4 linked regions of the Lepisosteus oculatus genome follow. The protein of the gene in region 2 binds, or shares a complex with, the protein of the main gene of each other region. Links are inferred from orthologs where the notes say so. Each region holds a gene or a part of one and is shown on either strand. Other genes may lie near its edges. The genes, in order: tectonic-1, mks1, tmem237b and b9d1.

Region 1 (7,727 bases), on a different chromosome or scaffold from region 2:
TGTGCTCACACAGGGTGAATGAGGAAGTGCACCTCACAGCTGGCAGCCCCCTGAAGCTCAGCAGGAGTGAGCCTGGCCCGTACCTGGGTGGGACACCTCCTGGGAAAGCTAAGGTTGCTGCTGGAAGAGGTGGAACCAGTAGGGGGCACTCACTCTGCAGTCTGTGTGGGTCCTAATGCCCATAAAAGTGATGGGAAAACTACACTGTAAAAAAGGCACCATCCCTCAGATGAGACGTAAAACCAAGGTCATGACTCTATGTGGCCATAAAAAAATCCCAGGGCGTTTTTCGAAAAGAGTAAATGTGTAGCCAAACTGACCAACCTAATAATCCCCATCTATGAAATGGCTTCATTAATATGTTCTCCTCCCAAGAACTGCAGTAAGATGCAGGACATTCAGCACCAATCTGAAAGGAGACACATCCCTCATCGACATCACTACAAGCCTGCAGGTTCCTGAGAAGTTCTGGCAAAGTGTGTGTGTGTGTGTGTGGAGACACATCAACAAAGTTAGTGGTGCTGCTTTGCCAGTATACAATGCCCCACCAACTCTAATGTTGAGAATTTCTGCAAATTCTCTTATACAAGTTGTCTTAAAAATAACCGATGTAAAAATGTTGTACCAAGGCACTGGCAATCTCATCTGAAACATGAAACTGCAGGCTAGAGAGAGACGAAAAAAAACAATGTGAGCCTAAGTGGTTCAGAGAAGCAATACTGGCATGAACAGGAGATAAATGTTGATTTTGCATTATAAAGCAGTTACTTTCCTCTAACTGCAGTTGCAGTAATCGGGCTGTGCAGACATCCGATTTGCAAGCTGTTTGCACTCTCTTCTCTGAGAATTGATTTGAGCACACAAATACAAATCCTCCCTGAGGATTAGTATGACTCATTCAGCAGAATAAGAAAATTCAGGGAATCGGTCTGTTCACATGGAAATGGGTAAGATTTAGTGCATCATGTGCTATTAGAATAGTAGGAGGCAGTGTAAGAGACAAAGGTAGTCTTTTTGTTCTTTCGTGCGAAACATTATTCAATACAAAAGCACATATGGACTTAAAACATATGAAGGCCTGAAAGCCGATATTAAAACTTCAGATGTCACCTATTTTTGATACCTTAAATATGCAAGGCTCTTGTGACATGAGACTGTACTCAGCAATCCTTCAAAGTCTGACAAGCTTTCCAAGAAAAACAGTTACGCAGAGTTCAACATTTAATCCCACATGAAACAAAAACACAGATAATCGATGGTAGTCCACTACTGGCTGTGCAAACACCAGCCAATTCACACAACAAAGGCCCAAAGTAGACAAACCAAAAACATGACCCTCCTTATACATCAAGCAACACTCCAGAACCCTTGCAGAGAAAGCTGAACTTGCCGCCAGGTCACTTTTAGTGCAATTTAACATTCTGTACGGGGAAAATCAAAATATGTTTTTGTTATTGGGTTCATGTTGTGTTTAACGTATTTTGTTTCGTCTTATGTCTTTTGCCTGCAAAACAAATTTCCCCATTGGGGACAGTAAAAGTAAAGATGTTTAGAGCCGACTTGCTTCCTGATATATAGATCTGTTCAATTTGCTAATAAAATTACAAGGACCCAACAAGCAAATACAGCTCTCGCATGACTTCAGGCTGCTGCTGCAGGTGGATCAGGCGCTCTGTCGTCTATGCAGAGATAAGACAGGACTCGGATACAGATTCCTCTATAGGATGATCAGAGCTGAGCCTGCTGAAACGAACGTGCACATCAGAATTTGAGCCCTTGAAGATTGAGAATATGTTGCAATTTCTTCTATTCCTAGATAATCCCATTCTTTTTAAAAGCTGTTTTCTGAATAGAGGCTGCATCAGGTTTCCCAGAAACCGGTGGCAGACATCTTTCGTTTCTGTACAAAGGTGCGCGACCTGAGTGAAACACGAAATAAAATAAACACGCGTCCTTCGATGCATACCCCCTTGACATTCTCAGTTAAGATATGGGAATAACTAAATTTTCCTCAAAACCCCCTACTAACTACCACGGATTTGCCCTTCGAGGGAAAACATGTTTTTCAAGGTCATAGTCCGCTCTGACACGTATATCCAAACTGTTGACGTCTGTCCTAGTTCAAAAGGTGGGCAAGATCACTTTGCTGCCAAAGGTCGTACCTCCTGGCCAGCCCCAGTGTTTGCCAGCCCCGGCTTGGCAGAGAACACGCCCCAGTCGTGGGTTTTCACGTTAGGACGGGCGCCCCGGGGTGACACTGGGAACTGAAACAGCTGGCGGCGCGCGCCGCTCCCTCTCAAGTGCACCTGGCTCGCGCCGGAGAAGGACAAGGACGGCGCTCGCGGGGCGCGTACAGAACGTGACCCAACATGGCCGCCTCCATGCTTAACCACCCTGACCTCTGCAGAGCGGACACCGGCTGTCCGGAAACTAAGACTGCGTTTACCCCCCCAAAAAAAGAGTAACAACGCCAGGGTGAGCGAGGATTGATGAGGGATCTAAGACCTCGTTAAGGCTTCTAACATGCCTACGCCGAGACACTACGCTCAGCACACAAAATGCTTCCTGGTGCAGCAGCCGTACGCGGAAGATGAAATAACGATCCACATCTGTCTCGCAAATACACCCAGATGAAACCCGCAAGCGTTAATTGTAATCGGAACCTTTCTCCTCATGCTGTAAAAGCTACACAATGGAGGGTTTTTTAAAACACCTTGGGAGTGCACATCATCGCCACTAGTGGTGGAGATACAAAGCCTCAGTCTACATCTCGGCGATCGAGGTAAAAGGTCACGATCACTCGCTTGCAACAAATTCAAGCTTTTCTTAGCCGCACCAAAAACACTGAAGTAGTCCTTAACATTAGTAAGTGTTTAAGCACGGTAAAATGACAATAGGTTCAAATTCCATGCATTGCAAAAACGTAGAAGCACCGTGCAGATGCAGAGGCTCTTAAACACATCCTGCCACTTAATTAGCTCTGCAGTACAAATGCGGGATAATGCCGGCATTAAAATCTTCAATGGTGATGTGCGCCGACAGGTGCAAATAGAAACAGTGTCAGAGCTGCGTGAAGGAGTATTATTGCACGACTTCGGGGAAAATCGTCTCAAGACGCTGCCGGTACCGATCAAGTACCACACACCAGCCCGGTGCCACATGTTGACATGAGACCAGGTCATGCAGTTCAAGTGACATTCCAGAAAGGGTATTTAAAAATTAAGAAGCGCGATTTACGGTGTTTTCCTTAACCTGCGTGGACTCGTTTTACAGTACTGCAGCTCAACAAACCTCCAAGGTGAAAGGGCTCCGATGCTTGATCGTTTTTTTTATTATTATTATTATTATTATTATTATTATTTCGGGATGGGGGGTAGTAGGTCCGTTGGAGATCAGCTTTAAACGCTTCGCCCTGGCGCTGAAATCAAGAAAAATCGCCGGACTTACCCAATACATCAGCGGATCTATGCCGAGCAATGAAACAGGCGTCATCGCCGTAACACATCCCCTTCTTCAAAATCCCCTTCCGAAAGTCTTTCCCGAAACCGCAGCTTGCCGTCACCAGGCTGTAATCCCGGCTATCTGTTTGGGAAAGTCCGCCCAGGACAGCCCTGGCAACCAGTCTGCCATAGGAGAGAACGGACAACATCCCCCCAAAAATAGCAAGAGTCCACCTTACCTCCTACCTACTCTCTCCTCACTCTGCCTCACTCACTAGTCTCTCAACAAAACAACATGCGGTTACCCACACTAACGAACAGGGAAAAAGGTCAGCCCCACAGTCCCAGAGGAGGCGCCTTTTTAACGTCTTTTTTTGTTTTCTGAAAGGCCCAGGACGAAGAGTACGGCTGGGAAGCGTCTTCAGGTTTTGGCGTGGTATTTCGCGAAGCCGGTGGCTCTCAGGTGCTCCATCCTCTCCGCCATCTTTCCCTGCTCAAGATTGTACAAACGCCCGGGTTCCGGCGAGCGCGAGCTCCACAGAGTTCGGGGGGCAGTCTTGTGACTCCTTGACGTCATTCGTTGTTACGCAATAGGGGGTTTTCCTTAAAAGGCCATCAATCGCGACTTTCTTCAAACTACGTTAACGGGGGGGAAAACTGTCGTTTTGAAAGGATCTGCTCTCCCCGTATCATCGCGGTCATTTTTACAGACTTTTGTCTTTACATTTTAATTCATGCCATTTAATCGCCTTTCCTCCCACCAAACGACTGCACGGCTCACTGTTACGAAGAAATGAAACATTAATCGTATTGCTTAAATCACGCGTTGTAGCTCCGTCTGCAAGAGCATAAGGCATTTCAGAGATAATGCTATCGTTTATTATTTAATTTGGTTTGGTTTAAATTAATTTAATTTATTTTAGTTTCCTGGGAAATTATTTTTACAGGATTTTATTCGTTGTATAAAGTCTTATATTATTCCCCAACCATGCAATTGGACACTACCTTATTGTTGTTTCAATCAGGAACTTAAGTACACTTCTGTGCATTACAGTTCAATCTTAAATATTAGCTTTATTTGTAAAAGTAAACTTTGCACAGATATTTTACTGAAACATTTAAATGAGCAAATAAATATTACGATCCAGCAGAATTTACCTTAAGAGGCTTGCATATTAGACGGTACCCAGATGATAAGGACAAATATACAGTGTATTTATGACGTTGCCAGTACAAATCATAACAATGAGGTACTACCATCACGTTACACTGACATTCTGAAATTTAAGAAGATCCCAAGGTTGCACGGAGAGGTCGCTGAAACTGTCGCCATTGTGGCTCAAACTGACTCCGAATGATTACACTCTGTCCTTAATTGACCCCTTTCCAAGAGCCAAGATGGCGACAGCATGCGTAAAACCTTTCGTACTTATAACCTTGAATGGAGCTTTCGTAACACTATTATTTTAACGGCCAGAAAACACGAATTCGTTTTCTTTTACTCCCATCTTACATCAGCAAAATAATAATACGATCACATGAATTATTTTATTTATTTTACCCGGGATGCCCTTCCCAAATTCAGTTCCTGGATTCGAAGGCTCAACCGTCTGTTTACGGTTACTAAGAGCCATGGCGGTGTCGCTAAGGTTTTTGATTTTCTTTAACTTCGCCTCTATCACTCGTTTGCAAACGTTTACCACGTCTCTGGCGCAGAGTGGAGACACCGGAGCGACAACGGCAGACGAGCCGTTCCCCCCAGCAGACACGAACGACTTCAACACTACGGCGGAGAACTTTGCGGCAGCTTCTGTCTCCCAGACGGCCGGAGCTGCTCCCGAACCGCCGACAGCTGAGTCAGCCGAGACGGGGGCCGCACAGCCGACCAGTGCAAGCGGTTTCCCCTCTCCTCTCAGCACCCCTGAGACGAACACAGCCCCTCAACCCGAGGCGACAGCCCGGAGCGACGTGTCTCCGAGAGCCGAGGCGCCCTCTTCTCGGCCTCTGCCGCTCTCGGGTTCCCTTCCTCCGCCTATTACTAACGGTATGATTACACAGCAGGCAATGAGCAGTTCAGTGACAGGTTGGAGATATCTGAGGGACTTATTATTTTTATTGTTGTTATTATTATTAGGGCTGCCGTGCGAGTACAGGGCAGCCCGCACTCCGATCCTGAAATCAGATTTTGTTCTGGGTCGAAACAACTAGGCATTCACCCACCACCCATCCATGAGCATTATTTTGGAGGGTCGTCAGCGGTTGCTAACAGTCACTCTGATCCTCTCTCCTCAGTCGCGAACGTGTGTCCCTGCGATCTGCTGTCGAGTCAGTGTGACGTCAACTGCTGCTGCGACAGGGACTGCGAGGGCGATTTCGCTCTCTTCACCACCTGCACCGTCGACAGACTGATGTAAGTCATCGCATGGCAACGTCCTGCATTGGCACTGGGGCTTTTCCAGACTGGGGAACCGTGAGCTGTCCTGTGCCTCTCCCACTTCGCGGCTAGGTGGCGCAGTGCTAACAGCGTGGAGTTTGTACGTCCTTCACATGCTGGTTTCTGGGGAAATTGCCTCTGGTGTGTGTGGTGTCTGTGTGAGCCCAGAGATGGACCGGTGTCCTGTCTAGGGTGTATCTTCCCTTGAGCCTGGTGCTGGCAGATATATGCTCCGGTCTCCCTGCAACCCTGTATAGGATAAGGAGGTTGGAAAACGGATGGATCGGTGTCCTACTTCCAGTCCCTCCTTAGAACTTACCAGTTATCCTATGATCTATCTTGCTCTTTCAAAATCTTACAAAATGCTGCTTGTCCTATAGTTTAGAACATAAGCACCCTTTCCTGGCCTCTTTATTCAGCTCTATTCTCTTAGTTGATGTTCTGTTTCCCCCTAATTTATGACAATTCTGATACCTGTTTTTGACTAACTGTATTTATAGTAATTGTATTTAATTTATGTTTCCTTGTATTTGTTAGATCACACTACGTAGTAGTATACTGTGTAAGTTATTTGCAGGTAACGTGTGTGTATAATGCAGAGTGTGTCATTATATCCAAAGTGCATATATTAACACAATGTATTTATAAGACATCAGTCTGAGGAGTACTATGTATGATTATATCTATTAACACTACAATAATAAATAGAAGCTGCAAAAAGTAGCGTTTTAGCAATGATAAACTGTATGGATGAAAGCCAGTTTGTAAGTGTTACTTAGATATCGCCTTTGCTTTCTCTTTGCCATGAAGTAGTTATCTACAGTCCTGTTAACATGGACCCACACAACGTTATTTCTGCATAACCGGTTCCTACAACATTTTGCAGTTCATTTTCAGTCGAAGTGCCAGCCTGGATGTGCCACTGTGGGAGCAGTGTGAGTGATGGCGTGACACTCGGTCTTGTGTGTTTCAGTGCTGACTCCCGGCTCTGCAGCCAGCAAGCTGCTCTCTACACCATTAACACAGAAGATGGCCTAGCGCAGGTAGAATCCACTGTAGCGCAAGAGATCAACCCAGGTGTCTTCTGCATCCAGACTGCCAACTGTAGGTGAAGTTTCGGTTCTAGCAACATGTAAAAAGGACCCTTTATCATCCTCCATGACTGCAGGAATAATGGAAAGGAAAAAAAAAAAGTAGCCTTTCGCATGCCTGAATGTTACTCATACGGTATATGTGATGAGTCAAAAGAGAAACTGCAAAAGAGCTTTGGTTTTTCTTTAGATAAGGATGGCTTGTCATTTGCTTCTCCGGAGATTCCCACAGATGGGAATTTTGACAGTCTGTTCAGGCAGTTCGGTGGGTTCTTCTTCAGCCCCGCAGATGGAGGTGGGACCGATACCGCCCCCGACAGGGCAGACCTGCAGGCCGCCTCTGGCTACCAGGTAAACGTGCTGCAGTGGCTCTGTGTGTTTAATCTCCGCCACAGTTAGTGTAGGCCAGGACAATGCTCAAGTATTTCTATACAGTACATACAAGTCTCCAGGTACCTTCCGTAAAAAATAAAGCTGAAGAAGGCTTCACAGCCAAGACGTTGTGTTTTCTCTCTTCTCTTTTCGACAGGGAATAAACCTATCACTTGTTCCTTTTAAGATCTGGGAAGCTGTAGTGGTGTTTTAAATTTTAAAGTGATGGAATTTTACTAGGGTGGCGCAGCAATGCAGGTTTCCTCCCACAGTCCAAAGACATTCTGGTGGGTTAATTGGCTTCTGAGGAAATTGGTCCTGGTGTGAGTGTGTGTCTGTTTGTGTCTCTGTGCCCAGCCGTGGACTGGCATCCCCTCCAGGGGGGTACCC
Region 2 (7,453 bases):
CTGGAGGGCAGAAGCCAGGTGTGGGAAAGTCAAAGTCAGACAGAGATCCAGGCTCATACGGTACAAGTAGAACTGCACCCAGCCAGCACCATGCTGGTCTTAAACATCACATTGTGATGTGGCTGAAGATTTTACCATTTTCTTTTCTGTTGTGAACAGTAGCTTGACATCATACAGGTCACAACGTATTGAGAAGCAGAGTGGGCCCTGGATAGAAGGTGAAGGTGGCAAAGTGATATTTGGAGGTTACAGTTCCTTACACCATGCAACACCATTTGAGGCGTTTTCCTTCAGCTTAGGACACCAAATCATTCTGTGAGCCCTCAAGAACGGCAGAGAGTAACTAAAAGGTCCCTAAAAAAGGTAACACTCAGCTTGTCTCAGGCCATGAAATGGGCACAGTACAATCCAAAATGATAATACTTCGGCAGATTTCTTACGAATTTGTTTTGTATCCAAGAGCCATGTTTCACAAAAACTTGCAAAAAACATATAAATGTACAAATAAATATTACATCTTTTACATAATGCTGTATTTATTTGCAAAGTAATGTTTATCAGCGCTGTGTGTATGTGTACAGCCAGAGCGGGAAGAAGAGACTGCTGCTCACACTGGGCGCCTCTCCTGTCTCCTGTGCCTCACATGCGCCATTCTCTCCGCCAGCAAGGTGGGGGCAGCCCAGTCCGGGTTCAGCACTGGGAGACTGTGCTGCAGAGACACACAAATGCGACTAAGTGCTCTCATCTTCATATGCACTCTGCCTTGCATCCTACAGGCAACAACAGACAGCCATTCAAGGAAAGAGCAGCAGCCACACAATAAACATGAAAGCATCTCTGGCCCTTTAAAGCCCGAGCCAGTTGCAGAGCGGACCCACCTCCATCTCCCCGGACAGCAGGTCGCAGTCGGTGTAGGTGAAGATCCTGCGGCTGGCCCGCCCCCCTGCCCTCTCCAGAGCAGCGATCTCAGCATGGTACTGCCTCTCCAGGGGGCTTCGACATGCCGCCTCGGTCTGCAGCAGGGCCACCTCACTCTGCACACACCCCACAGGTCAGGAGAAACATCTCAGGGAAAAGACAAAGCCCAGCTCCCACTACACTCCTACTGCAGACGCTAGCGCTTGGCATGAAAAAATAGGTTCCCTATTAAAAACACGGACATGGTTCTTCAGGAACAAAATCATTGTAGAGCAAAATAATCCCAATAATAATGCAGCTTTAGGTGACTTCCTGGATTCATTTCACACTTTTCAGAAACATCCATCTCTCCTTTCCCTGGATTTCCTAAGACTGGACAGTGCTGTGTGCAGCCTCACTCGGTTGGACTCGTGAAGAGAAGGGAGTGTGGGAACTCTCTCCGAGGACGTCCAGCGCAGAGCGCGAGGAACACAGTCCCCACCACAGCACCAGGGCCCTGTCACACTCTTCAGGTGTGGCAGCCTGAGCACATTACAGTACCTCCTGCTTTTTCACTGAAGACTGAGTAACCCCTACTGCCATCAGGACAGGGAAGCGCCCAGCCGATGTTATTACTGCATCTGTAATTACTGAACAGGCCCCCACCTGACCAATTACCGGGCCCCCACCTGACTGAAGAGCTTCTCCTGCCAGCCCACCGTCACGTCCTCCTTGTCGTCCTGCTGACCGCCTGCTGGAACACAAGACAGGCCCGTTACTGAGCGGCCCCCAGCAGACACTGGCCGCCACTTGCACTGCGCTCCTCCACAGTCCTCACTGCCAACAAACAAACCAGAACCCGTGTTCCTACAGTGTGTGCGAGCGTGTGGCGGGACACCCTTACCCTGGCAGCGGAAATGCATCTCTTTAAAGAACTGCCAGCACTCAAGAAACGGTATCAGCACCAGCTGACGTCAGTAGGAAATATATACTCTCTGGTTGTACTTTTCTCTGGTTTGCTCCATATCAGCGACTGCCATGCTGGAAGCTCTGTGCTGGCGCTAACTCCCTGACCTGAGATCCAGACACGAAGGCGTTCAGACGTCCTACTAACACCCTTTGGATATGGATCTCCTCAGGAAACTGGTCCCAGTTAAAGAGGGCCTGGGCCCTGCACACATACTCACCTGAGCTGGCTTGAGCACTGAAGGTGAGGAGCTCAATGAGGCCCTTCTCCTGCAGGGCAGAGGCCTGCTGCTGGAGCTGTTGGGAGAACACCGTGGGGGACGTGATGCGCTGGAGCCGCACCCTGCAACACAGAGACACAACATGCTGACACAGTACTCTGCTCCACTCCAGCACTGCCACACTGAGACAGCGCTGCACCACACTGACAGGTTACTCTGCTACACTCCAGCACCGAGACAGCACTGAATTGTGTTCAGAATTGCGATACGACAGTAAAGGGAGCTGTACGAGCATAATCCTCCTTTACAAACTGTAAACAACTCTAACGTTACATTTGGATGTAACAACCCCTTACGTTTATATAAAATATAAAGTAGCGAATGTCGGGAATACCTCCAAAAGCAAACGTCGAAATACATGCTGTACTTCTTTTTAAAAACGCTACTGGATTAGATGCTGTCTGAACGTGCACTTTACACGCGTTATCGTTATGTTCAACCGGCGAGCTGAACTCGCAACGTTGAATATACCACGTTACTCCCGGCAAGAAGAACCAGCACGAATCTGTGAAGTGCTCTGTTTGTACGTTCAAATCTTTCTTGTTTTCGGGTCTTTCCTGGTTACCTTATTTTCAGGTTTTCGACTGGATCCCTGGAGCGATAAACCCCTTCCCCCGTATCCACACTCCAGCCCTCCGCCATCTTTGCGGACGTGTGTGTTGTCACGGTAACGGCAGGGCTCGTTTCCTGCGGTTTACCGACACAGGGCGGTGGAGGCAGGGGCTGTAGCCAGGACTTGATTTTGGGGTGGACCGGGCTCTAACTGACCGTCCTGCCAGCATAGGGGCACCCCTTCAATTTACAATGTCATCCTCGAGCGGTATAATCAAACAGCAGAATTAGCGGAACCTCATACTGTATATATACACGGTCTCTCTCTCTCTCACACACAATTACCTAGGCTGCTGCACGCTACTGAGCCACGACGGACACATGCAAAAAAAAAAAACAATCAGTGCCTACCTCTGGTGAGGTTTTGGCCTTCTAGACCAGACGCAGGCGTCGGGGCTTGGAATTCAATATGGCGATAATCTCGTCACGGTCTAGAGAGTCGGCAAAATCCCGTTCAAATGACAGCTAGTTTGCTAAGGTCTCTCGTATGAGGACTCTGTCTTTAGCTAAAGAAAAGCTGCAAGAGCTCATTTTTACTTATTGCTTGTAACGGTTCTAAGTATTTCGTATGCCTGCTTTTAGATTGTTCAGTAGTTTTACAAGTTACTCTGAAGTCAATATTTTATTGCAAAACACAATGAACACAAGGCAAAAATGCAAGGTTCAAAATACGTACAAAATATTGTATTTATAATACCATGCAGGGCTTACCTTGAGCTCCATGAAGTTGGCCCCCCTACAGCCAGCACAAACTCATGACTTTGGTGTTTTATGCGTCACAGAGAAAAGAAGGCGCTATATTGAAATATATTGAAACATCCTAAGATCATCCCCCCAGTGGCCCTGGCGACGAGCGGAAGGCCGCCAGTCCTGGCCAGAGCCGGAGCAGGACAGCCCATCCCGAGAGGACAAGGCTGGGCCGCAGGGCTACGACTACAGTGTGCTAGCAGGGGCTCCTCATCAGCTCCTGGGAGGAAACCACAGCTAAAACCACACGCGCACCAGGAGAGAACACGCAAACTCCACACAGACAGGCCCCACAACCACCAATCAAACCCAGAGGTACAAGAATGCAAACCCTCTTCTTAATCAGGACATCCTTTCAGATGCTCAATGGAGATGACGAGTTACACATCAAGATTTTTATTGTTCCATGTGGGCCTTTTACAGATATTCCTGTAAGCTTGAATTCACAGATATTACATGTATAATCAATCATCTTGTTTTGGAAGATACTCCTTGAACCCCGAATTGTTAAACAAGGTAATGTGGTAAGAAAGTATCTGAAAAAAAACACACAGTTCATCCAAATCCACAGCTCCTTTATAAAAAGTTGTTGTCCAGTACTTTAAAAATACATTTTCAGCTTCCATTAAAATACAATTTGTATACAAATTCTTTTTTCTCCCTCCAACTCCTTCTTTTTGAAAAAAATAAAACGTAGTAATACACAATTATGAATCAGAAACCTCAAGCAGACTTTGCAGAACCAACAGGAGGTTTTGCCTTTGTTTCATGATAGGGGACTGACAGCCTTCTCTCTCTGTGGATGTGTTTGTTACAGGACCAGCACACCAGCAATCTGGTGAGAACATGATCTGGCAGAGCCAGGCTCAGGGCTCTAAGTCTCTTCTTCTGCTGCTTCAGCCGTCTCACTCACAGACCTATCGCTTCTACAGCGCTAATGTGTAACATCTTGACAGGTTGGGAAAAACTAAAAAGGCTGAACTCTAAGCACACTCACGACTCTCTGCTGTGCACTTTGAGTCGTTCCACAATAATTGTACATCTTAATTGATTTGCTTTCAGTTCAGGAAAAGTGGGCTTTAATAACTATCTTCATTCTCAACACGTTAGTTTTATTTGTACTGGGGAGAGGGTCAAAGGTCATACCAACAGGGCACTAACATGACCCTGAACTCTCCACCCTCTTCCCCCAACCAACAGGCACAGGGCAAGACCCAGCCTGGATGGGACCCCAGTTTATCACAGGGCACAGACAATCTTCCCAGAAGCCAATTACCCCACCAGCATGTCTTTATAGAGTGTGGGAGGAAGTTTGATCTTGACATCTCTAAAATACGCAGGTGTGTCACTGAAACAGCTGTAGCAGCAGTACAGAAGCACTGTAGAACACACCACTACAGCCTCTTCAAAAAATTGGAGGATGGAGGTAAGCTGTGATTTGCTTAATTAAAAAAAAAAGTTAAATAAACACATTTTCAAAGTTCTGTACAAAAAACAAAAACATACATCCCAGCACTACTTATTTTAAGTCTCTGGAAACCGGTTATTGTAGGAATTTGATTTGACGTGATTTTTAACAATTTACGCTTGAACATCACAAAGCTGAAGCATGAGCAACAGTAGCCAAGACTTGCTTCCGCCACTCACACAGTGTCAAGCCCAGACAATGAACATGCTCAGCACAATAAAAACACTTCCAGCAAAGGCATCCAATTTAAAAGCAAATGAGCAGTCATTTAACAAAATATTGACGTACTATGTGACAAAACCTTTTTCTGCTTGCAAAAGTCTCTGGGGGGAAAAAAAAAATAAAGAACTCACCTCCCACAACAGAGCATTTTGATCCACTCCAGGAATTACCAGCTGCAGTGTTGGTAAGAGCTGTAGCATAAAAAGCACTAATTGCATTTTAACTAAATGGATATATGCAAATACACTGAATAATCCATAAACATCCATATATAAGAGATTGCAGACTTAAATAACTGAAATGAATCAAAATACTATGCAATAGGACACTTATTTCTAATCGAAAGCAGGGATATCGACTCCTGCTCCTGAAGAGCCATGTTTTGGTTTTCATTCCACCCTGGACTCTTAAATTAACTGTTCACTTTACTAATCTATATTACTACTGTTTCATAAGTCTTCCACCACTGAGGATTTGTAAGTTACCAATGTAGCTACCAGGACCAGGAGTAAATATCAGCGTCTTATAACAAATCTCTTGTTCGCTGTTCACTCAGTGGACAAAACAAAATGTGTAGCTGTTGTTCCTCTTCATTAAAAACATGAAGCGTCGACCCCCCCCACCACACACACAAGGGTAAAAAAGCCTTCCCTTTCTAAAATTTTCACATCTGGTCCCCCATTGCTACAAGGAAACCCAACTTTTTGTATTTTAAATATATGGGTATGTGGAAAGATACAGATATATGTACCGACATGCTTTCTCTGCACAAAGTCCCCAAATTTTGATCATAATGGAATTTATTTTCCCTTTAGGCAAATGGTGTGCAAACAGCCCATTCCACAATAAACAAATCAGATTGCCAACCCCTTGCTCACAGGCAAAAATAATCAGGCCCAGATACTTAAGGACACCCTCTTCAAGTGCACATTCATTTGTCACAGCAAGCAGTAGTTGGGACACTCCAGGACGTTACCTCATTGTTGTTGCAGACTGCCAATGTTACAAGACTGGACTGAATCACACTGCTCCACAGCTGCTGGAGTTAACAGGACTGTGTACAGTCAAGGGCCACACGATTGCGCCAAACAGGTATTCAATCGAGCTGGTGTGTATATGAAAGACTTTCATCAAAGTTTTTAAAGAGATCAGAATCTATGCAGACTCTTTGCTTTAAAATAGTGATTGAGCATCCCTTGAAAATGTGGACAATGCACCTCAGTCTCACACATTACAGGCAGCAGCAGGTCTGGCCTGGGGGCATGTTTTCTGTTCAACCTGACTCACGGCTGCTGGAGAAAAAGATCTGAAAGGGAGCAGCCACAGGTACCGGAAGAAATCCAATGCCTGCAGCAGCACGTGGGGCTTTTCTAGAGACAGATTACTTTCAGGCCCACTTACACTTCCCAATCTTGTCTTCTACTCCATGCTTGGATGCTTCCTGCTCATGATCTTTGCCTCGAGATAACGGACACGAACGTCCCACAACGGTTCAGGAATATTCTGTCCCAGCAGAGGCTCCAGGGGAGGCAGTCTGCACCCCAGAGGGTCTTCACCGACCCTGTCCAGGCTCCCCATGGGAGCAGCACAGTCCTGGCACAGCAGCGTCAGAGCAGGAGAGTTCCTAGATTCAGGGTGCAGACAGCGCCCCCACATGGCCGGTACACCACCGCGGGTCTGGCGCCCATGAGCGCTGCTGTGGGTGCTGAAACACAAGCAGGCGGGTCAGTGCTCTGGGGCTTCTTCACATCTCCCACATCAGCCTTGGCTTCCTTCACTCCAAAACTGGCATGTGGAAGAATCTGAATTCCCACTCTTCCTCTCACACCTGGGATCTGGGACAGAGCAAGAAAGCAGCGGTGGCGCAGAAGGGAATGATCGCCAACTATTCCGGATTCCTCTACGTTCCCCTTCGGGGAAAGATGAAGCACAGAGTCCCCATTTCTGGTCTCTCTCTGCGGGGATACCGCGGACAGCGCTGGTCCGAGGAAGAGTCAGGCTCCCTGTGCACACGTTCCCAGCTCAAGCCAGAGCAGGGCTTCAAACACACAGCCGGCGTCTCCAGAGCACGAGAGACTGCCGGGCCATCGACACGAACGCCTCAGGATCTGTATTCACCTCAGAACCGAGCCAGAACCAAACAAGCCCAGCCTCTGGGTCTCTCATTGGGCCCCTTAGAGGAGCACAAGAGATCTAGCGAAATGATGAAATCATATTTTAGGCAATGCGGTTATTTTTGACCAGTTGATATCATCTGTTC
Region 3 (8,011 bases), on a different chromosome or scaffold from region 2:
CTCCATCGCATCAGGCAGTATTATTGGCAAAAGCACACATGCGGTCATTAAACAAGATTCTAAAGGAAATCACTCCATTATAAAATTACTTTTAAATCCTGAATTCGATTGGCTATTCTGTGTTAAGAACAGGTTTTACAGTCTTTGTAAGGTTCGCTCCATTCCACACCATCCTTTCATTAATTACTTGTATTTAATGTGAAAGAGGCCCCTCCTGCTGTTTTGCTGTTTTTAGCATCTGCCTCCTAGCTAGTTTGTGCCATTACTTAGAATGTGATATAATCATTTCATTAGAATTGATTGTCACAGCGTAAAAGTACAGAGACAAATTCTTCAATCTGGAAAATTATTCATTTAATAAATCCAGTGTGGTTAAAAGCTTGAATAAGGATATTGTGTAAAACTAATAGCAATCTTATATTTAACTGGCATTTTCCTGTTTTTTCCATCTTCTCTTTTCACATTGTTTTCTGAATTATTCTGCAAATTTTGTATGCTAGCACTTGACCTTGGTAGGTGCGGAGACGATCTTCAGCTAGCGTCCCTGCTTTAGTTTGAAAAATAACATTCAAAGGCCTCATGTTTTTCCTTTTAAACTAAAAAGGAAAAAAATACTTTAAAGAAATAATCAGCTCATTAGGGTCAATATCCACCCATCCTCTAACTACTTCATTCACTTCAGGGTTGTAGGGGAGCAGCAGTCTATCTTGGTAAGCAACAGGCACAAGGCAGGCTACATCCTGGATGGGACACCAGTCCATTGCAGGACACACACAGACAAATACGAACATGTGCAAACTCACCATTCACATAAGGGCCAATTTTCAAAAGTCAGTTAACCTACCACCATGTCTTTGGATTGTGGGACAAAACTGGAGCAGTCAGAGGAAACCTGCGAGAGCACAGGGAGAACATACAAACTCCACACAGACAGGACCCCAGGGCCATAAGTGAACCCAAAAAAGACCTGAAAAAACAATACTGCTACAAATCTCTCTCACAGGATCCCATTCTGAGTTCATGGCATAAAGCCTTTGATTAGAGGGCACCTTTAAATTGCAGACCTCCACTATCTGGGCTCTAGCTTGCTTTCCCCTTTTTGAAACAAAATAAAGCTGTAGGGTTTAATCAGTCCCTAGACCAGGGACTTAAAATCCTCCAAAATGTATACTTCACAGTGTAATGCTCACACAGACTAAATGAGCACAGCATTTTTCTTCAGAGAGAACTGCCTCAGGATCAACAGTAAAGCTAGGGTGGAAATCAGGGATGCACATCTTTACACAAAGAGTTGTAGGAGTCTGCCAAATACTAACCAGCCACGCTGTCGAAAGTATCCCTGGGGATATGGAGAAGGGCCAAATAAACTCCTCTCATTGGTAATCACTCTTAAGGGCTTACATGCGTTTACTAGATGGATGAAGTAAAAATCCCTTCCTGAAAAAGAAACGATCCAAGAACTGCACAGATAAGTGCAGACAGGCGTGCTAGCATATGACCACATTTTGGTTGAAAGAAATTTACCAGGTGGTTGTGGCGACAGCGCCCTCTGCTGGCAACATACAGGAGCAAATCTAACACCGGCCTTGTAAGGGAGTCGTCTCCTTGTGCGATGTATCCTTCTTTTGGAAGCCAGATTTAAATCCAGGTAAAACAAATCCTTATCCTTCCTAACAAAACGTACAGAGGACGCAACAACCGTTACAGTGTTGTAGAGTTCAGTCCAAACAAACGACTTATTAGTTTACTTAAGGATCAAGATCCGGGCTGGATCAAAGCCAGCAGCTGTGTAGCTGGGACTGTAGTGCAAAGCAGGGCTCACAAGGAAGGAATAACAGGCAAAGAGCAAAGACATTTTTCTGGATACCATCTTAGACAAATCTGCATTTATATGTTTGTTCACATTTGCTTTGATATTTTAAACCCAATAAATATTTCACTTATCTTGAATGTCGCATTCATGATGTGCGTTCGTGTATGGGCTATTACATATTACAGAGAATACTGAAATAAACGTCATAGTTCTTATACAATTTTCATTTCTTTAAAGGACAACAGTGCAAGTTCTTGTTGTCGCCGTGTTCATTCAAGGCGAGTACTAGTTAATGCAAAAACAGCTATTACTGCCGAGATGGACAATACCGTTAAAAGGATAGAAGATAGATTTCAAACCAGCTTTAAAAATATTAGGGCACCAAACATTTTTGAAACTCTTCCTGTATATAATATCGTGAAATATGTATACTTAATGAAAACGACTGGTACTAGTATTTGAAACTAAAGGGAATGTTTTTTTTCTAATTAAAGAATGACACTTCATTGCTTAAAATATATATTTTACTTTAATCGACATTAGTGTGTATATACTGGCTAAACTAAATACAAACGGTTCAGCCAGTATTACTTTTACAAAATTTTCGGCCTTCAAGACTGAAAATACAATCTATGAACACGAAAGACATTTTAAATAATCACCCATCTTAATCAACAAAAGTGAGGTGGCTTCTCGTTAAACTTTTGCAACTACACCTTTTTCAACATTCATATTCGATCGATTTTATTTCAAACCACTTACCCGTGGAATTTCATCCATTTTTAAAAAGTCAATACAACAAGCTTCTGAAGATAGAAAACTACTGTACAAAAAGAAGAATAACAACAAAACTGCCAATCAGAACACCAAATTCCATGCTGTTGTACACCGTTGTTGCTAGAGCGACGAGCCAGTGGGAGGTCAATCATGTCTACTTCCGGGTTAAATCACGGCTACATTATTTCTTGTAATACAAGCGCAATTTCCATCATCCCGTATCTTCTTGGATAGATGGACGCACCTGGGAAGCTCTGATTGTAGTGACAAACACCCAACGTTAGGATTTTGATACTTCATTAAATCTTTTTACCTCCTGAAAATGTCTGGATTTCTCATTTAGGGGACCTGTTAATAATGAATAATGAATTTGTATTCTAAAAATGGCGAGAGGGATCAAGTTGTATGAAGATTTCGGTTCGAATGACGACACGTTAATCCGCATTAATGACATTAAATGGAGCAGAGTAGACAATGTTCAGTCCAACCACAAAACGTACAGCTTAAATATCAATCAATTCAGCATTTAATAATATTATTAAAATATTTCATATAACACTCTTTGTTACCAATATTGCACAAAAACAGCAGAACCTACTTAAAAAAGAAACGAATAAAAATGTTTAGACAACAGAAATCTTTTTTTAAAAAAAAAACGGCTAACATTGTATTTTGGATTCTCAGAAAACTTAAAGATTCAAATTACAGTAAATCACACTGTGGTACCACAGGTTCTGTAATTAACTTTGGTGTTTTTAAATAAAAATGGTGGTACATACAGTAAAACAAGAAAACACTCAAATATATGTAGATTATTCAAAGTCAAAGTCATTTATTCTATAAAAAGAATTTATAGATTGTTTTATAAATTCCATATTGAGGTGATGAATAAACTAGAAGAGTTTATATTTCAGATCACAATTTTAAGGTTAGATACAAATGAATTCACAAATCAGTAATTCGGCTTATACTGTATGTTGGAGCGGTCTGTGATGCAATGAAATCCCCCTGATTTGTTTTTAGAACTATTGAAAAACTGATGATTAAACAATTTCAGAACCACTTAAAACATTACTCTCTTCTTACATTTAGAAATAAATTATTAAACCATACACTTAAAGAAAATACAAAGGTGTACAATAAAATCCACAATTATCTTGGTATACATAAAAATTGCAAAGATCTAACAGTCATTATGACTAGCCTGTGCTGAGAAGGTTAACTTATAACCGTCTGTATTACCTGAGTACACAGGCAGGTGTTCCAAAATTAGTAAATTAAATTTTCATCACAGATACTACGACATAACCTTATGGCATAAAGGACAGCATTAAAAGTTGTAGAAACCCAGATTTATGTAATTGAACAGTGATATTCAAATCAAATATCATGGTCAATAAGTACATTTTAAAGGATAACGAAAACACAAGTTATTGGGCTGTTCTTGGTACATCGTATAAATATCCTGTTGTAAAATCTCACAATCTCTGTGCCTTTCTAAAGCCAGGCGTTTCCCATTAACACACACTATGGCGACCTCCTGTAGGAATCTAGACTGCCACAAACCATTAAATCCGGCTATATTGTAATATAAATTAGATTAAATAATTGAAAAACAAAACATCACTCAGGAACTAAAGCAAGAAGAATTCTGTCTAATTTAAGGACATGGACAAGGACAAGGACAGGAATTATGGTTGATATACAGTAAAACTCCTTCAACAATTCTAAAGGTGATATCATACTGGAGTCATTTCACAGGGAAAATAAAGGATTCCCAGAGTTCTCAAGGATACTGTAAATACAGGAAAAATAAGTATTTTGGCCCCTAAATTCTCCATATTGCAAGGAGACCTCTAACAGTAACCTTGCTGTTATACTGCCAGCATTTAGGATTTTTATGTATGGGTCATTAAAAAGTCCTTCAACTTGATAAAAACGTTGAAACAACTTTGAGCACACTGCATCGTTCTAGCACTGAGGTTATGCTTTAGATACTGTTAGTGAAGCTCACAGTTTCAGTCAGTCTCTGGGCTAGGATGAGGTTTACCCCTGTGTTTTGGTGTGGTTTGTCCCTTTTTCCCCTCTCCTCTATCAGGACTCTTCTGCAGGCCTGAGCCACAGAGCTGGAACCCACTGCGGCTCGTCCTGTGCCCGCCTCACAGCGGTTAACAGCTGGACACAGGAGTCCTGCAAGCTGTCGTTTACGATCACGTGGTCAAAAAACTGGCAGTACTGGGCCTCCACCTTCTTCGCCATTTCCTCCATTTCCTGGAAATCCTCCTCCTGTGAAGCAGAGCACCATTTTAGCACCGTCCGCCAGCACCATCTTTTTCATATTTTAAAATAACAATGGAATTATAAAGCCCCTTTCTCTCCGTTCAGTAGGATTTTCAATTCTCTGTTGCTCAAGTACAGAGCTCTGCAACCCAACTTTAAAAGCATTACAAACAGCAGAGAAGTGATTGGAGGAGTCAACAAGCTCACCTCTGTCCACTAACTCACAGGGATTGTTGTTATACACCAAGCTGTGAAAACATTGTGCACCACCACTTGGAAAAAACCCAGTCACTGTTGACTAATGATACAGTCTGCGTTTGAGCCATGTATAACCTGTATATCACTTATGCTTTGCTCTTCATAGTGGCCCTCTCTGGAATAGCCACTCAGCATCACTCCAAAGGAAGCAGTCTGTGTGGTGCACTGAATACCAGAATAGAGTTTTCCCCTGTATACTGTACATTGTCACCAAAATGTCAGTACTATATAGCAAAAGAAACATTTGTTCCAAACTTCAGTCTGCACTTCTACCATTACGGGAGAGTATACTATAGTTTGTAATAAAAATACAGTATTTTGATGCAGCAACGCTATAAATACGCTTATTAATTGATTCTATACTGATTAGTACAGAAACACATTCAACAAGTGAAAAGGAACAAAGAAGATTCCTAAAGGCTGACAAATCTGTCCTTCAAGTATTTTCCCAAAGAACAAGAAAAATACATTTTGAAAATGAAAACTTACTTTAAAAGGCCGGTTTACGTAATAATCTGTGATGATACGGGCACTCTTCCTTGTCTGTTTCATGCGAATTATGCTGGATGGCTTAATAAATATGATATATGCTTTGAGTTCATGTGTCCTCACACCTTGAATGCCCTGTAAAACAGATTTACTACAATTAATGGTTGTTGTTTTTAGCTTTTCACAAATATTGTGATAAAGTTTAAAGTTGTTTGCTATGAATCAAGGCCTGCAGGAGCTGCAGAACACCTAAAAGAATTCCAGAATTCCAGCATAATTTTTTCTGTAATTTTTTCCCCAACACAACGTCATTCTGTTGTACAATTCCAGTCAGCAAGATTACGCTTGAACGATTGATTTGTTTACTTAAGTGTCACATCAGGTCAAATTGTGTATGAAGTTCACATCACAACATGTTGAAGAAGTAGTAAGAAATTCTTACTTGTGGCTCTAGGTCAATTATGCAAATTTTTCCATTCTCCAGAACTTCCTTGACAGAGTCAATGCTTGTGCCATATAAATGGCCCTTATATTCCCCATATTCAAGGAACCTTTCAAACACAGAGAGCAAAACAGTTACTGTATTTCAATTATTGAAACTACACAAGAAACTGTGTACTGTACCTGTACTGAAGTGTTACTGAAACAAATAGTACCTGTTACTGTGAATCATGTTCTCAAACAACTCCTTGGTTACAAAGTGATACTCTCTCCCATTCTCCTCATAGCTCTTTGGGGGTCGGGTTGTGTCTGTTTAAGAAATTTACCCATTAGACAACAGCAATAATTAAACACACCAAAACCTACAACGGCTCTGGCCCAATACAACATTAAAAAGGTTACACTACTGATAAGCCATTACTCAGGCTAAAAGCAATTGTTTTTAAAAATTTTTGGAATTAATAATCCTTGAACAGATTTATACTTGCCTGCTGAGCAGTCTTTAAATGACCAAACTGCGTTACTCTCCCAAGATAAGCTGCTAGGTTATGTTACAAAACAATAAGAATCCCTTGTATTTCATCACAATAATATGATTTTTTATTATACAGGCACCAATCTCAAATTGAAAAATAAAGGAAAAGAACACTTCTACAAAAGCTTTGGATTCCTTATAAGTTAGTATCAATGCCAACCCAAAATATGTGGTTGATATAAATCGGTTCACAGCGAGCAGTGAATTTATGTCACTGTAAGTCAATATGCTCAATACAGAATTAAACTAATTGGGCAGTTTTGTATTCTAAGAAGAAAATGACTGCCACACACTTTAACAAAATGTATTTTCAGTCTGGTGACACATCAAATAAAATCAGATGAGCCACCAAAAATTAGGTTTTAGCTTTTTTGATAAATGAAAATATATTGTGTTACAAAACTCAATAAATAACAGATCAACTGTTTTAAACAGCTGCAGTTGCTGTGGTGATGGTCTTTTGCACAGTTAGCACTTTGACAAACAAAACAGCTTACTTTATTTTCTCCTGTACTTAAATTCTGTGCAGATCATCTGAAAACTTATTTCAGGAGTCAAGACCTTGAAAATATATAAAACCTTTTTTCTGATAAGCCCTTAAACTTTTCTCTTTTAACAAATGAGGAAATGTTTGAATGTGGCAAGTAAGTCTTTCTTGTTAATTGTTAAGTGATGTATTTGTTACATGGAGCTTTATTGTTTAGGGAGGATGAAACTCAATAGTTGATGTTGGGCTAAATGTTGCGCTTGGGGCAAACACTGAGATAAACACTATTTTTCCCAATTTCTGAATATGATTCAAATTCACAATTGTTGCACATTGAATTAAAGCAGGGTTAGGAGCAATCTTTCAAACAAAGCACAAAGGTGTTAAGGATTGAGAGCAATCTAAATGTCAGTTAAAGCTTTTCAGATTAGGCTTAGCATTGCAAGACCCCTAGATCACCAGCAATGTTCCTTAATGTTGAAGAACGCCCAAACCACATGTAAACAGAGCACGTACGTGGAATGGCCCCCTGAAAGATCTTGGGGTTAATTTCAATCAGACGCCTCCGCAGCTCATTCACCCCGACTCCAGAGGGACCTGAGAAAATAAAGCACAAAGATCCGGATATATGTCTTACTTTATCGGGGAACACAAGCAGAGTATTAGGGAGAACTCATTTTGGCACAGGAAACACTGAACGTTAGCATAAGGGGTGTTCTGAAAACACGAATTTTGCTAGAGTTGTGGAACACCAGGAGAGCACCTGCACTACACATTTGTGCAGAAATCCTTCTTTCTCCAGCTTTAAGCCCTGGGGAAAAGTTTAAATTGGCCTAATTAAATTAATATGGAGCCCTGCAGCTCCCAGTAAGAGCACAGATGTGCAGTGTTCCTTCAACAGATCAAAATATACTGAACATACGGTATTCAA
Region 4 (7,807 bases), on a different chromosome or scaffold from region 2:
CTGGTCGTGCAGTACATTTTCTTTTTCCATTTCAGAAACAGCGCTCCTAAAATAGTAATGAGGGAGGCTGAGAATAGATCCAAAGTAATAACAGCAGTGGGCAAGGAGGACTGGAAAGGTCTGTGAGGGCCTGCGGCCTCCATCATGTCACACGCTCACAGCCAGCACAGTTTGGCACTTCTCTGAAGCTCAGCCCCACCTCCTGCTCCCTCAACAGAGCCAAGGGGCTCAGGGCTGCGTCCCCCAAGTGTCTCCTGCACTGTCTGTCGTCACAGCCCTCGCAGATGAAAACAAGCCTGCTTCCCCTCCCTTACGGATGGCTATGGATGCGTTATAAAGATGCGTTTTACATGCAATGGCACATCAGCAACAATCTCATCAGCAGCACAATTTTTTATGAGCTCTTAAGGAAGAACAAAACCCTTAAATGCCTACCACTATCACTTCTGTACTGAATCACTGCTAATTCAAATTAGATCAGGGATGTCAGATTCCAGTCCTGGAGGGCCGAGTGTCATCTGGGTTTTGTTCCACGTTGAGTGGTCAATTAATCAATTAACCTGATTGCTTCATTAGACGAGTGGGATTTTTTCTGAAGGGCTTTTGAAGCCAATTACTCAAAGCATTCACTTCATTAAATTCAGCAGAGTGATGTTTATTGTCAGACGATACGAAAGAACTTAAAAAAATTAAAGCTATGTGAAAACTTGAAGCTTGGTTGGAAAAAGGCAATTACATAGTTAAAGCAAATATGCAACCTAAAGCTCGGGAAACAAGAAGACTTTATACCTTACAGGAGCTGAGTTTGAACCCCCTATAATAAAATCTCTTTTCTTTACTAGTTTACTAACAGTTTGCAGTTGCTGAGGTGTGTCTCAATCTTCTATAAGGCTACTAAAATCTAAATATTTGATTATATATTTTTTTTAAATAAACTGTGCAGGCACATGTCACATCACCATGAACTCTTCACCACCAGCATGTTACTTTAGTTTTTCTGTATTTTATGTGCTCAGTCGTTCACCTGGGATGTAAGCTCTTATTTGTTCTCCTTTCAGGGAAGTCTGCCAAGTTCTTCCTTTCAGGTTGCTCTTTACTTGATTCAAAGCAAAGACACTAGATGTGCTCACTAACTCTTCGCTCTTGGTCTTCATTAGGCACTAAACACTGCACATGCTCATCACATCAATTAGATTTTCTCATCAGTTCATCACTCTGTATTCATTAATCACCAGGCACTGAAGGATCAACTTATTTAACTTCATGGCACCCAGTTCTTAATCTTCACTAATCTCTATTCACTAACAATCAGGCACGGAGTATTTAATTTGACTCTGTCACCCAATAACAGTCTTCATTAAATTCACTTCACCATAGCCAGGCAACACAGAATTCAGCTCTATTAACTCTACATTGCCCAGTTGCAGTCTACTCTAAAATTATCACTTCCACTCTAATCTCTGCTGTTGTTTTCACTAACAACTATTAACTTATTGCTAACGATAGTGGCTAATCCTTTTTGGCCAGAGACACCTGTCTGTAAACAACATCCCTGACATACTTTTTGGTTCTAATCTCATGTTCTGACATCGCTCATCTGTCTGCTGATGTTAATGCATAGGGAGTACACAGGACTCATCTATACTTCCCTCTCACTCTCAGCTGTGGGGAAGAAGGCACTGTATGCTGCTACCTCACTACACAGTGCAGTACAAGCTAAGCTATATTTTCTCAAACATCCCTCACTTGCCGAGCTACACAGGTCTGTAAGGCAGCTCAGTCCATTGTTAATGAGATCTCCCACTCTGGAGCTCTCAAACTCATTCCTTTTAGGCTGTAGCCTAAACACAGACTGAAACTTTTTTCCTCTTAACTGTTCTTATAGATCTCTTAATTAGCCCAGATGCATGGCCAATTCCTCCACAGCCTATCCTATGAGATCATTTCCCTCATATGGAATTCTACCCCTTCTCTGAGCCAATTATTCAATTTGCCCCCAGATGTGCCTCATTTTTTTCCTCAGTTTCCCCCCCCCCCATCAACAGGTGGCATTCTCTCAAAGCCACGTATCACTACCTCACATCATCATCACATCCCTTTCGAAAACCCCTGATCCGATTCGGGCTCCCAGTGGCCCAGGGTCACATTGTCCCAGGAAGCATCGGGAACAAGACAGTATACACCCTGGGTGGGACACCAGTCCTTCGTAGGTCACTACCTCACAGAGACCCAAATCTGTGGAGCCAAGTTATTGACATTATTCAACGCTCACTCACAAAATATTTGAAGTCCATTCCATCTTGGCAAACGCTTACCCGTCAACAGTGCTCTATAAATGGCCTGCCATCTGTTGATATCTTCCCTGTCTGCTGTAATTTCAGTCTGGGCTATATGAAGGTCTTTGTCTTTCCTGCCTGTACTAAAGCACATTCCTGACCTGCTTCAGGATGGAACTGACAATAAACAACACAGAGGGAGTGATGACTGGGAGGACTGAAGGACATTATGGGATGGTGATGATGAAAGACCATGTGTCCTGAAAGACTTAAGAGTGCAGATAGTCTTCTCATACCCTAAAACACACATTCAGCAAAGGAAATAGCTCTGTCTTACAGTCCGAACCTACTTGAGATAGCTTTGGTAGGAAGAGTATAAGATACATAGGCAGCTGTCGTGACTGGGCAGTGGGCTGTGTGATGCTTAGCTCTCCGTACAGAAAAGGTCACTGTATCAGTGAGTGCAGAGATAGCAATGACACCCAGCAGAGCGCATGCAGCACTGTAGCTGCAAAGCATTAGGACTGATCACCAGGGGGCGCCATGGTGCTACTATTTAACCATTGCCACCCAGGATAGTTATCTAGTCAGGCAGGATGTTCTGTTTCACCGTTACTACCATAAGAAAAGGGGAGTGTCTGAGGGGAGGGGAGGTAGTCTTTTTTAGAGGTCTTCTAAGCAGCTGCTAAAGCATGGTATACTCAGCCTGGGGGTGGTTTCTGTAGGTCACAGGAACACGGTTAATTTACAGAGCCTGAAGGAACACGTTGCATGATCTATGCTAAGCGAAACAACCCCCAGGAAAAACAAAGAAACAAGAGTTCAAAAGTAACAACAAAATGGCTTGAACTACACCCTCATCATCTATCCATTTCTCGGACACAGCTCGCCAGTTCTGTTTAAGCATCCAACAGCACAATTATGAAACTATAAATACTATTGCTTTGGTGCAGCAAATTGCATTTATGTGATTCAGCTTGTTTTATAAAGGGCAGACGTGTCCACGTTTCATCTCAGGGCTTTTTTTTTAAGGGTGCAACCGTGGCAGACTCGCAAAACAGTAGCTTTGTTGATCATATCCTCCTCCTGCTAATTAAGAGAAATCACGACAGACCCAAATCCTCCCTCCTCCATCTGGAGAATACTGCAGTAATTAGACACCAAGGGGCCGGCACTCAGGTACACATTCTGTATTGCACTTCCTTTCCGGCAGGGGTAGAGAGCGAATTATCTGGGCAAAACATTGCTCGTAACTCGCCTGAGCCTGGCCCTAACATGAGCCTGGCAGAAACCCCATCTTCACGCACGCTGGAGTTTGGGTTTTTTTTTTTTTGCGTCCTGACCTTTAAGATACACAAGAAAGAAAAGAAAGACGTAAAGAACCGTAAACAGCCTGAAATAAAACTTCGTTACAGTCCCTGCCCCCTCCCACTCTCTCTGTCAGTGTCATTGCTACCTTCCTACTATCTCCTGGAGCGCTTTGTATCACGGCCCTCCCGCCTGCCTCTGTCACGCCGTGTTGCTGTACCCAAACTGTGCAGACGGCAGAACTAACATGACAGGCAGTGTGTGACACTAATCCCTACGTACCGAGCACAAACACTCAGGGACCCGACACGCGTTAACACGGCGCTCTGACTCATGATATCTCCGGCGCCGCCACTAACTGTAACCGCAGTCGCCGTGGCTGAACTCGGGGCCGCCCCGGGCAAGACGCGAGTCCCACCTCAAGGCGCGTCAGCACCTGCGGAGAAGAACCCAGTTCGTCTCACTCTGCAGTCACTGTAGCCTTCTACTGATAGCATGGATTAAAACGGTCTTAAATGCAATACTAAACGAAAATGTTTTAACCACATGTGAAATGTTCACCATCCTTCGCATGAGGTCAGATTTAATTTTAGACTCGCTATTATGCTGGTAAACAGGAAAGAAGGATTCAAATTTACGACTTTTTCCAACCTTTTTGCCAAACTGAAAGAAAAAGAAAACTTCTTGTTATAATATAGGCGTAGATGCCTCATTTAGCCAAATGTTTTATTTCTCAGAAGCTAATAAAGATTGCGTTAATGTAAGCAGCAACGTAAAAAACATTTTTTTTATTATCACGGCCGTTTTACAGCCCTACTGCTGAGCACCAATACTGAGAGAAAACCGTCCTTTCATCGCGCACTCCAATCAGCAGCTAACTGATTGCATTGTAGCCATTTGGTTCATTCATTTCACCTCAATTTCCGATGGCTGAAGAAAAAAACTTGAACAGAGTGATTGTACATTGCATGAGTACCATCTAGAGGAGAAGGCGATAATGAGCTCTTCAGGTGTGTATACAGAGATGATAAGACGAGAAACCTTTTAGATGATAACTTCGTGACATAACACAGTACCCTGTGTGCTAATGTGGTGTAGTATTTGTCTTGGCTTTCAAGGTTATGTTTTACTGTTGGTAAAAGCATAAACCTAACGGGGCTGGGCATTGAAAAGGAGGAGAGGGCGATGTTTTTTCAATCGCTTTTTTACCTTGCACTGTTTGGTCCTCACGCTGTGCCATACAGGAGGCGTCCTTGGTATCCAGAGGCGTTGGTGACACTAACAGGAGAGCAAATAGGAATAAATAACAATAGCAATGAGATAGAACATATTTTTCAGATTATTATTATTTCGAAACGTGTGGAGACAGGGCAGAATGTCAGCCAATCCATCTGTTTTTCTGCTCATGATAAACGGTCAGATAGAGGGAGCCAGCGTGAGTATCCGCCTTTCTAGACGCACAGAGCCTCCTGTTTTTACTTACTGTAGATCCAGACGAGACTGGATACGCTTTCCTGTGGCCACATCAGTGTCCGTTTCACATCATGTTCTGTAAAATAATACAACCCGTCTCTCTGCTAACTTTTAAAAACATGTGTAGTATCTTCAGAGGCTCAATGTGTGTTGAACGGAGCGCTGTTCCAAGTGGTAAAAATTGTTTTTCTTTCGTTAAATCTCCATTTTACTGTCTCTTAGTTTCCAGAATATGACGACCTGTACTGCAAATATTGCTTTGTATACGGACACGACTGGGCTCCTACCTCGGTGAGACACTTAAGCTTGAGGGTGCTTGCTATATTGATAACGTACTGTTTCTGCTTTAAAATTCTACTGCTTTTATTCCCTCAATTTAAACTTCACGTTCGTGTTGTTAATATATTGCCCTGGTTTTCACAGTTCCCAGATCTCCGTGGTCCAGAGTCCAGGCTTGTGATCAGCTCATTTTTTGATGTTGCCTTGCTTTATAAGATCCTTGCAATTAGGACGATGTATTACTTCAGTAATGTGAAAGACAAAGTTATATCGGAAACAACTAAATCGTTTACCGTAATAAATATGAAATATTTAGCCAGCCTTTTTTTTCTAATGGCATAAACTAGTCCTGTTTTCTAACAGTTGTTTAGCAGTTATATGACTTTAACAAAAGTTTAATATTAATTTAAGCATTACCTTCATTCGGTTTAAGAATAATTCTGAAATCGTATTATCACACAGTACCTAAGATGGTGAAGAGAGTTGGTAGCTTTTAATCCCACTGAAAAGCCAAACTCTGTGTTTAGCCAGAGAGAAACTCTTGCCAACACTACAAAATGTTGTTGTGCCTCTTGGGCAAAGGCTGGGAGATCCATTTTGCATGAGGTGATGTGTGTTTTGTTGAAGGGCTACACCAAGAGGAGTCATTTATTGTTATTCACACATAAATTGACACAAATATGGACTTCGGGAGCTTAAATACCTCTTTGTTGGAATTATCTATACAGTTGACCACTGGAGATGAGGTTGAGGGACTATAACGTCTTTCTCGGTAGGAACAGGTAAGGGTTTGTTCCATGCTGAAAGGAAAAGAGAAGAGATGTGAGGTTTCGGCTTTGAAGCCTTCTTCAGGCGTGTGGAGGCAGTGGCTGTCCAAACCACTGCATTTCTTTTCCTTTCAGCCTGGAATAAATCTTTACCTGTTCCCATGCAGCTGATGCAGTTCCTTACTGGATGTTTCTCAGTAGCTCGCTGGAAGGGGAATGGCCGTCCAGATAGGTATGGCTGCGTCCAGCGGGCCCCTCACTTCCAGCGTAGGCTGTTCCGATCATGCCTGTCGCTGTCCTGGCAGGGCCTGGAGGAGGGGATCTCCCAGATCGCCTCCAAGAGCAGAGACTCCCAGCAGCGCTGTGTGTGGAACTTCCCCCTGGATATCACCTTCAAGAGCACCAATCCCTTCGGATGTGAGTGACACACCCACTGACACCGATTACCCACTACTGAAAAACTATACTACTTTCTTTTAGAAACAGAACTAAAGGTTCTTTTAGACACAGTACTGCACAAATTGTATATTTGGCTATATATGACAAAATATACTTGTAGATGGGTGTTTTTCACCTCCATTGCAGTGCTGTTGAAGAATGCATGTCAATGGCAAAGGAAGATCTGGCTCTGCGTAATTTTGTGTAGCAGTTAAGAATGACTAGGAACAATTGCTGGGCTTCGTTTGCTTGTGACAAGAACTGTATTTTTGTCAGCACCACTTCCATTTCTATCATCGCTGTGGCCAGGCTGTCACAAAAGAGAGACTGGCTTTCACTGGGCTAAGGTGCAGGTGTCTGCTCTCTTGCGCAGGGCCCCAGATCGTGGTCAGTGTGTACGGACTGGACGCGTTCGGCAATGACGTGGTGCGAGGATATGGCGCTGTTCATGTTCCCATAACCCCTGGCCAGTAAGTCTCCTGCTCTTCTCCTCGGTACTGCTATCCATTGCCCCCTTGAGTTGCACTGTGTGCAGTGCAGCATGCTGTACAGTACACCTTGCAGCAGAAAACTAATAATGAACCTGTGAACAGTGTGCAAAAACAAAAATCTTATTAATCTGTGTTCTTCTCTCAGACACAAGAGAACTATTCCAATGTTTGTTCCAGAATCTACTTCAAGACTACAGAAGTTCACAAGGTAACACCGCCACAACACAGATTAAGCATTTTATGAAAATACCATTGAGCTCTGCCTTACCACACTCGGTTTTAAATTCTGTGTTCATGGTATCTGGCCCTTATTTGCTTCTCTTGAAAAATGTCCTGACAGCCAGTTTTAAGTGAGCTTTTCAAAAACAGTAGGTTATGCCCAACCAGAGAACCAACAGTAAAATGAATGTGCAGATGAAGTAAAATACTTGTTGAATTCATTGAATGCAGAAGTTTCCCAAGGCTGTTGTTGCATTTTCCTCACTTTTATTTTTTTTATTACAAGGAGAATGCAAAGAGCCTATCCTTCAGATGTCAGGTTGCTTTAGATCTGCAAGGCCTTTCTCAAGTACCAATAATTCAAGGGCACACAGTACACTTCTACACTTTCGTATCCTTCTGGAAGTTATGGTTATATATGATATTAAAATGCAAATTGGATTTTCTGAAAAGGTCTGATTTTATACATATTTTTTAGAATAGTTATTTGGCTTACCAATACAACTGTTCTACAAGCAGAAGCAGGAATAAAGACCACACAGCTACCTTTCAAAGT

Evidence for each region.
Region 1: mks1 (region 2) and tectonic-1 share a complex: the UniProt entries of both Homo sapiens proteins name them as parts of the tectonic-like complex. The link is inferred for Lepisosteus oculatus from reciprocal best matches to the Homo sapiens genes MKS1 and TCTN1.
Region 3: mks1 (region 2) and tmem237b share a complex: the UniProt entries of both Homo sapiens proteins name them as parts of the tectonic-like complex. The link is inferred for Lepisosteus oculatus from reciprocal best matches to the Homo sapiens genes MKS1 and TMEM237.
Region 4: mks1 (region 2) and b9d1 share a complex: the UniProt entries of both Homo sapiens proteins name them as parts of the tectonic-like complex. The link is inferred for Lepisosteus oculatus from reciprocal best matches to the Homo sapiens genes MKS1 and B9D1.

Annotation. Positions count from the first base shown.
Region 1 is NC_090717.1:10,245,629-10,253,355, forward strand, and holds the start of tectonic-1, read left to right. Parts: upstream 1-4,712; 5' UTR 4,713-5,006; coding exon 5,007-5,484; intron 5,485-5,732; coding exon 5,733-5,850; intron 5,851-6,847; coding exon 6,848-6,978; intron 6,979-7,155; coding exon 7,156-7,316; intron 7,317-7,727. Other genes in the region: pptc7a (protein phosphatase PTC7 homolog), read right to left, coding at 3,448-3,649. UniProt on the Homo sapiens protein: Component of the tectonic-like complex, a complex localized at the transition zone of primary cilia and acting as a barrier that prevents diffusion of transmembrane proteins between the cilia and plasma membranes.
Region 2 is NC_090721.1:453,769-461,221, forward strand, and holds the start of mks1 (tectonic-like complex member MKS1), read right to left. Parts: upstream 3,001-7,453; 5' UTR 2,787-3,000; coding exon 2,710-2,786; intron 2,207-2,709; coding exon 2,085-2,206; intron 1,652-2,084; coding exon 1,587-1,651; intron 1,035-1,586; coding exon 879-1,034; intron 710-878; coding exon 612-709; intron 1-611. UniProt on the Homo sapiens protein: Component of the tectonic-like complex, a complex localized at the transition zone of primary cilia and acting as a barrier that prevents diffusion of transmembrane proteins between the cilia and plasma membranes.
Region 3 is NC_090707.1:34,917,751-34,925,761, reverse strand, and holds the start of tmem237b (transmembrane protein 237B), read right to left. Parts: upstream 3,005-8,011; 5' UTR 2,594-3,004; coding exon 2,576-2,593; intron 1-2,575. Other genes in the region: mpp4b (MAGUK p55 subfamily member 4), read right to left, coding at 4,685-4,876, 5,618-5,752, 6,060-6,168, 6,274-6,367, 7,597-7,677. UniProt on the Homo sapiens protein: Component of the transition zone in primary cilia. Required for ciliogenesis.
Region 4 is NC_090714.1:12,532,709-12,540,515, reverse strand, and holds the start of b9d1 (B9 domain-containing protein 1), read left to right. Parts: upstream 1-4,807; 5' UTR 4,808-4,959; coding exon 4,960-5,019; intron 5,020-5,279; coding exon 5,280-5,348; intron 5,349-6,408; coding exon 6,409-6,520; intron 6,521-6,914; coding exon 6,915-7,011; intron 7,012-7,177; coding exon 7,178-7,240; intron 7,241-7,807. UniProt on the Homo sapiens protein: Component of the tectonic-like complex, a complex localized at the transition zone of primary cilia and acting as a barrier that prevents diffusion of transmembrane proteins between the cilia and plasma membranes.